Linked DNA regions of Caenorhabditis elegans. The protein of the gene in region 1 interacts with the protein of each later gene in a pairwise test. Each region holds a gene or a part of one and is shown in the gene's direction. Other genes may lie near its edges. The genes, in order: rod-1 and ndc-80.

What was found.
Region 2: the proteins of rod-1 (region 1) and ndc-80 interact in a two-hybrid assay, tested with the Caenorhabditis elegans proteins (one study listed by BioGRID).

What each region holds. Positions count from the first base shown.
Region 1 is NC_003282.8:7,476,398-7,480,321, forward strand, and holds the start of rod-1 (Kinetochore-associated protein rod-1), read left to right. Parts: upstream 1-2,054; 5' UTR 2,055-2,055; coding exon 2,056-2,152; intron 2,153-2,207; coding exon 2,208-2,360; intron 2,361-2,407; coding exon 2,408-2,703; intron 2,704-2,760; coding exon 2,761-3,153; intron 3,154-3,196; coding exon 3,197-3,865; intron 3,866-3,916; coding exon 3,917-3,924. Other genes in the region: pycr-4 (Putative pyrroline-5-carboxylate reductase 4), read right to left, coding at 1-403, 472-725, 784-892. UniProt on the Caenorhabditis elegans protein: Essential component of the mitotic checkpoint, which prevents cells from prematurely exiting mitosis. Required for chromosome segregation, the assembly of the dynein-dynactin and mdf-1-mdf-2 complexes onto kinetochores and spindle pole separation.
Region 2 is NC_003282.8:10,084,107-10,088,030, forward strand, and holds the start of ndc-80 (Kinetochore protein ndc-80), read left to right. Parts: upstream 1-2,030; 5' UTR 2,031-2,040; coding exon 2,041-2,153; intron 2,154-2,200; coding exon 2,201-2,603; intron 2,604-2,655; coding exon 2,656-2,943; intron 2,944-2,990; coding exon 2,991-3,350; intron 3,351-3,428; coding exon 3,429-3,532; intron 3,533-3,579; coding exon 3,580-3,708; intron 3,709-3,780; coding exon 3,781-3,924. Other genes in the region: W01B6.8 (uncharacterized protein), read right to left, coding at 1-31, 80-267; col-2 (Cuticle collagen 2), read right to left, coding at 379-1,004, 1,052-1,331. UniProt on the Caenorhabditis elegans protein: Acts as a component of the essential kinetochore-associated ndc-80 complex, which is required for chromosome segregation in mitosis and meiosis and spindle checkpoint activity.

The sequences.
Region 1 (3,924 bases):
CCATATCTTTGAGGGATCCAAAGTGCTGAGTTTCAATATCAAATCCAGAGTTCGAATTGAGCACCATTTGAGCTGCTCCGAGTACTGCTTGAGCAGCTAATCTTTTAGCCTCTGCTCGTCCGAGCCCTTGTGCGACGGCTCCATCTGCCAGTGATTCGATGTACATAAATGTCCATGCAGGACTACTCCCTCCAATAGCCATTGCCGGGTTAAAGCATCTTTCTGGGATAAGTTCGACAGTTCCAACACACTCGGCGAACTCGCGTGCCAATTCGATGTGAGAATCTTGATTCATAATTTTTTCATTCTTTTCATAGCACATCGTCGAGGCGCCGGCTCCAATAGAACTTGCTACATTTGGCATCAAACGAACAATGGTAGTGTTTCCCGAAACGAATGGCAACTGGAAAAATGTTATGTACAGCAAATTATGATTTCTAAAATTATTTTATAACTGCTTATAGTAATCACCTTCGCGTTGAGAACTTTTAATGGAACTCCAGCCATTACAGAAATAATAAATTCTGGTCTTGAGTTTACAGGCCAGCTTGACACAACTTCTTCGAAAACTTGAGGTTTCACACAAATCACATAGATTGCCGTCGAATATCTTTCCAGCATTTCCAGTGTGTTTGTGAAAACGTTTTTATATCCTAGTTGCCTCCATTTCTCAGCCGATTTTTCCGTTTGAACGCCAATTACAATATTGCTTTTCGGTGTAAAGCCTAAAAATTAGAAAACAATTTAATTCAAATCAACGAGGAGAACAATTTTTTAACTCACCTTTATTCTGGCATCCTTTTATAATTGCAGCGGCCATATTTCCACCTCCGATGAACACGAATGGCACAGACTCTGAGGACCCGTTTGTCAATTCAGTATCGATAGTCATGGTTTTGACTGAAATCAATAATAATTGTTTTTGACACAACAAAAAGCAACATATTAAAAAAAAAAGAAGAAGACATGAGCAGAGGTTTGCCCGCTTAACGAGATTCTGTTTCTCAACTGCGTCTCTGTGCGTTTAACATATAACTGGGTTCTATTTTATGTCTCTTGTTAGACGTCTAGACGTCTAAGTCTCCATTTATATAAAAGTTACAATAAGATATATTATGGTACATGCTGGGATCATTTTAGTACCGAAATTGACATGAAAAACTAGTATTCTATAAAAATTTGTATCTTAAAACCGTGAAAGGCACAGAAAGTCACCTAGATGATTATTTTGTCATCATTCCAGAGGCCGTATAGATAATAAAATATATTTGTCATCGGTTCAGTTTTGTCATCCTGCTCTGGAAAATAATTCAAAACGTTCAAACCACGAACAAAACAGTAGGAACAGGTGAAACACAGAAAATAAACACTTCAAAATTTCTTTAAAAAATGTAAAATTATTTTATTTATGATAAAAACTTGAAACATCTGAGCAGATACGGTAGACATATTAAAGGCGCATGCTGAATATTGGAGATGGGTTTTGGGACGAAAAACTACGGTCTTTTTTCGCCTGCCCGCGCAAATTTTAGGCGCGAATTTCTCTATATTTACACGAATCTTAATTCTTTTGGATATCATTTTAATTTTCAGTTATTTTCTCGCCTCATCCTAATAAATCGTTTCAGACTATTTATTTTTGATAAATATAGTGAAATTTCTGAATTTAAAGAAGTTTTCCGGTCTAAAATTACGTTTAAAAAAGCTGTATAGTTAGGAACACGTAATTTCCACGTTTCGATCAATTTTTACTGAATGTGTTAATTGTTTTTCATTATTTAATTTTTGTTCAACACAGTTAAAGGTAAGGAAATGTATGAGATTTGAAACGCTTTTCGTGTTTAGTTATTGGTTTTTTGCTTCAAAATTCAACTATTTGGTTCAAAAAAGTCTTGTTTCTCTCACTCTAACACTTGGAAATTGCGCCCTGCTGACACTTATTTCGGCGGCGAAAAACATTTTTTGAAATGAAATTGTTCACTCATTTTTATAATCGTTCTTCTGTTAAATTTTTTAATTAGAGATACCAGTGTATTATAATGTCGTATTTGCAGAATGGGTCGCCTAGGCGAAGCAAAAGCTGTGGACTTGGAAGCGGAAACGTCGACTGTGGGCCTTTATGATGTGTGCACCGTTGGGCGAATCCTTCCCCGTAAGAAAATAAAACTATTATCTTTATGATTAATGTAATTAAATGTATGTTTCAGTGTTAAATGAGATGTCAATCGATAAGAAATCTCCGGCATGGAAGCTCAAACCGAAAAGTAACGAGCGATTTCTTGTTCTTGCGTCGTGCTCCGATCTGGCAGTCTTCAGTCTTGGCGAGAAAAGCGACTACTCGTTCAACACCGGACTTGGAGGTATGAGCTATTTCAGAGTCTCTGGAATGATTTCTCAACATTTTCAGGAGCCATCACTGATTTCGAAATCCTTGGAAGTTCTTCCTTCTTTGTTGGAGTCATTGAACATCGTCGTATTGTAATTCTCTCGCTGGATAAACAAGAAATTTACTTGAACGAGCCAGCTCCTCATGAAATTGACTTCGTTGTCTGTCACACTACTTCCAGTGTTTGCCAATTGATTTTCGGGAGCCGATCTGATAATTGGCATACTATCACATTGCCAGGAGACGTGGCTGCATCTAAGGAGACTAACCGTTTCGAAAATTGGCACAGAGATCAGATTCAGGAATTTTTCCACCAGGTAACGCTCATCACATTCATTTAAAGTTTCAAATTAATTTTAATACTCTCTTTTCAGGCAATGGGAAAAACGGTTTCAAAGTCTGTTGACATGTCGAAGGTCGCAGGTGACATTACTCTGATCTCCAATGGGCCACTTCAGACGTTCGCTTCAATTGATCAGCAAAGAGGGATTCACTGGTGTGGTCTCGTCGAATCGGAGTTTGAGGTGATTGGCATGGAAAAACAATTCTTGCAAGTCCGTGATGGAGGTAGATTCTCTCTTCACCTCGACACGGATGGATGGATTCATGTCTTTGATTCATTGGTATCATCCTTCTGCCACGAATTTGACATGAAGATGTCTCCAGACGACAAAATTCTTGATTTTGTGATCATTGACAAGAATGAAGTTGAAGTTCCGAAGATGTTCGCAATTTTGGTTCTGCCACGTGACGGAGATAGCACAAAGGTATTTGAATCGTATTTGTTAAATTTTAATAATTTCTTTTTAGATGATGATATACGATCGATTGAATAAAGACAATTGTTTCGCTTTGGATTCATCCACGTCTACAACTCTTTTTGCTTATGGAGGAAGTGATCGTGTCTTGATAGCCGTTGAAGAATTGGAAAATTCTCTGGCAGACGAACAGGACGGCAGTCAAATTGTTGTCAGACAAGTCTCACAGTCTCGCCCTGAAATGCGTTTCGAATCTCTTCTGAAGAATAACAGATTTGAAGAAGCTGAGAAGTTCGCCATGGCATTCATGCTGGATGTACAAAAGGTTTACAAAGGACACGTACATTATCTGATGGACTCTTGTGATGAAAGCGATGAATCTTTTGAGACTCTGATGACGAAGATGGGACAAATTCAAGATCATAATATGGTTGCTGAAACATACTTCACTCTTGTTGGAATGAGTCGGCGCTGTGATCGTATCCGCACCTACTTGACTCATGCAAAGAAGCGCAGAATAACGGATCTGGATATTCTGAAAATGATTGAGGCACTTTGCTACACGTGGGGAACTTATCGAATCATTGCTGGTCCAGAAGAAAACGAACCAAGTCGTCCACAAGTTAATGAAACGATTTGGGATTTGTTCGTCGAAGCTTTGCATGATGCGAACCCGTGGATCGAAATCTATAATGAATTCATTTCTGACGCCCAGTTCACTGTCAGTTTCAATCTTATGAAGTTTTTTGTACTCAATCATACAATTTTTCAGCAAGCCCG
Region 2 (3,924 bases), 2.6 Mb from region 1:
TTCAGATGACGTCGTTTCTCGAGAACTCTTACTTAATTTTATTAACTCTTTGATGTTTTTTTTTTAAATATTGACCTACCTCTTCTGTGAATTTTTAGAGACACAAGTCGTTCCAATGATGAGTTGTAACATTAACGACCAGAATAAAAACAGAATAATTGATATTTGTGAATACAAGCACATTATTTTGCTTGAACACCCCTCAGATGTTATATTGAAATATTGAGAAATAAACGGAAATTTTGAAAATGGAAAATTATTGAACATATTTCGAGGATTACGTTTTTAAAAATATTTCTTCGTGTGGTATGTAGATGTTATAAACAAAGAAGTTGAATGAAAAATGCTTTATTTGGCACAAACGGCACGCTTCTAAATTTAGCGGCGTCGGGTTCCGTCCTCAAAGAAGACTCCTCCGTCGATAGCACAATACTTGGGGCAGATTCCCTTCTCTCCTTCTCCTCCTGGCTTTCCAGCGGTTCCTGGTCCTCCTGGGTTTCCGTCAGCTCCTGGTGCTCCAGCAGCTCCTGGTGGTCCCTTTGGTCCAGCTGGTCCTGGTCCTCCGGTTCCTGGGGCTCCGTCATTTCCGGCTGGTCCGGCTGGTCCTGGTGGTCCAGCTGGTCCTGGCTCTCCTGGTCCTCCTTGCTCGGATGCTCCTGGTTCTCCTGGTCCTCCTGGGGCTCCTGGGGCTCCGTCGTTTCCGGCTGGTCCTGCTGGTCCTGGTGGTCCGGCTGGTCCTGGGCCTGATGGTCCGGCTGGTGATCCTGGGTTTCCATCTGGTCCCGGTGGTCCTGGTGGTCCGGCTGGACCAGCTGGTCCTGGTGGTCCTCCTGGGCATGGTTGGCATGGTGGTTGAGTAACTGGCTCACATGGAGCTGATGCTCCTTTTCCTGGATTTCCTGGGGCTCCTGGAGCTCCTGGCTTTCCTGGCTTTCCTGGTTTTCCGGGAGATCCACCTGGTCCTGGTGGTCCAGGATTGCAGCATCCATCACATCCTCCGCCGCCTGAAAATGTATTCAAATACTTAAACTCTGTGAACCAAGATCCTTACCTCCGCCTCCGCCTCCTCCAGCTCCTCCAGTGGAATAAGCTTGACGAGCAACACGAGTATTGTTTCCTGGAGCATCCTTAATAAGATGCACCTCACTCCAGATATCACGAGCAGAAACCTTGCAGAAATTAACATCAGTGTGAATCTGTTTCTTCACATTATTAACATAGTTATAAACCATTGGCAATGTGATGAAAACAGAGACAACGGCGACAACCGAGAAGGTGACTGCCGAATAGGCAACAAATTTATAAGCTTTGATACGAGCGTCGATGTCCATGATTACTGTTGGAGGGTGAGTGATGGACTGAAGAATTCCAAAAGAACTGATGTTTTTATACTAGAGACGTCCATGGCTATTACTTGGAACTGGTATAATTGTTCTTGTTAAGGAGAAAGAAAAGAGAAAGAATAAGAGGATCCAGTTCTGTGTTATCACTCCATTGGTTAAAGATACTGGTTTATTATTGTAAACTATATCAGTTTCTCGAAGAAAAAAAATTTGACGTAATTATTGGCTGGAAACTTCAATTACAAAAATGCAAATATTAAGGGGCAACTTCTGTTTATCAATATACCGACTGGAAATGATCTAACCATTGTAGGAAAATTCAATTCTATTGTATATTAATCGTGTTTGAAATTATATCTCAAAAGTTCCAACAATTCCTTCATTCTGGAATCTCCGGAAATCAGTTTCCTCGCGAGTGCAGCGTCTCTGTAATGTAAGTGCGCTCCAATCACAATTGCTATAGCGGGAAAATTCAAATGTGACTTCTCTCTCTCTCTCTCGATATTGTTTTTACTCAAATTTCTATTTTCGTTTTTTTTTTCATAAATATTTCTGTAAAAATGTTTTTTCTTCTTTAAGTTGGAAAACAAAGTTCTCAATAGTTGCCAGAATTATTTTTTTAAATTTTATATGCGTCGCCTTCCGTTAGTATATTCAGTTCTGGTCAATTTTATTCGCTCATTACAGTTTCTTGACAATGTTTGGAGATCGAAGAAAAACGGGCGGCTTGAATCTCAACGGACGTGCCTCAATCGCTATCACTCCGACTAAAAGATTCACCGATTATACTGGATCAACATCAGTCAGAAAGTAAAAATATCCAATTTCGTGCGATGAAGAACTAATCTAATTTGCAGAACTGACGCTCGCCCCAGTCTGAGTCAACCTCGTGTGTCATTGTTTAATACTAAAAATTCATCAGTTGCTCCGCGAGATGTGAAATCATTGGTCAGCTTAAATGGAAGCAAAATTTACAACTTTCTTGTGGAATATGAAAGCTCGGATGCACCATCAGAACAGCTCATTATGAAACCTCGTGGAAAGAATGATTTCATTGCTTGTTTCGAATTAATTTACCAACATCTCAGTAAAGACTACGAATTTCCACGGCATGAGCGGATTGAAGAGGAGGTGTCCCAGATATTCAAAGGTCTTGGATACCCGTATCCACTCAAAAACAGCTACTACCAACCAATGGGATCTTCTCATGGATATCCACATCTTCTTGACGCACTTTCTTGGCTTATTGATATCATTAGAGTTAGTAACTGATTTTTTTATTATTTTCATCCCTATTTATTTAACCATTTAGATCAATTCTGCTGTCAGTGAGGACACACAAAATATCCTGTTCGGTGATTTCATGGAACAGGGAAAAGCTCAAGAAAAAACGCTCAATTATGCATGGATGACAAGTACATTCAGAGATTATACAAATGATCGAAAAGCAGCAGAAAATCCCAGTTCTTCATACTGGGACGACACGAAGCATCGTCTACGGAAGTATTTCGAGCAATCCAATGAATTCGAGGATATGACTAAAACAGCTGCATCAGCTCTGGAGATGCTCAATTACGAATGTGATGAGATAGAGGCTGATGTAAGTAGAATTTCGATACTTTTGTTTTAAAGAAGTTTTATTTTCAGAAAGGAAACGAAGCAAGCTTAAAAGAAGAGATATCAAGAATCAGAGACGACATCCGAAAAGCTAAAGATTATCTCGAGCAAAATCTTCATGTTAAGCAGCATATGGAGAAAGAACTGGCTATGGTGAAGTCGGAGCAAGAGGAGAAAATTTCAGAAAATGAAAAAGTGCAAAAGATGGTGGACGATCTGAAGAACAAAATTGAGTTGCAAAAACAAATTCACGGATTGACAGGAAAAGAAGTGCGTCAAATGAATCTTGACAATAATAAAGACAAGGAGGTGGTACTGGAAATTCAAAGCGAGTTGGATCGTCTATCAAAAGAAACATGGAAACTCAAAGATGAAGACTTCTTCAAAGAGGTATTCTAGGTTTTTGGAAAGTTGAATGCCTATCATTCACGGAAATACTTGTATGACAATCAAATTTGTATGTTTCAGCAAAAGTCCAAATTCATTCATCTCGCAGAACAAATCATGAAAATTCTCAGTGGACTTAATATTCAAATGAATCTTGAACCACTAAGAGCTCCAACGAATGAAAGGTAAATTTCTAACAATTTATTAAAAATTCACAAATCTACATTTTCAGAGATCTTAAGGATTACTGGGAGACGTTGAACAAGATATGGGTTCCAGAGATCAGCCGACAGTTGCATCAGAGAAAGCTTGAGCTTGAGACTGAACAGTCAAGATTTTCAAATAAAGCAGTTACCGCAGAGTAAGTTGTACTCGAATTAAGCGCCGTTCCATTGAATGTTAATAATATACACATTTATAAACAATAATTCAGAGAAAGAATCCAAATTCAAAGCGAAACACTCTGTGAAGCGAAGAAGAATGAGGCTCGCGAAGAACGAATTCGTCGAAACGAACGTGATAGCTGGAAAGATGCTCGCAAACATATTGAACAACGATATGAACAACTATTGAATGA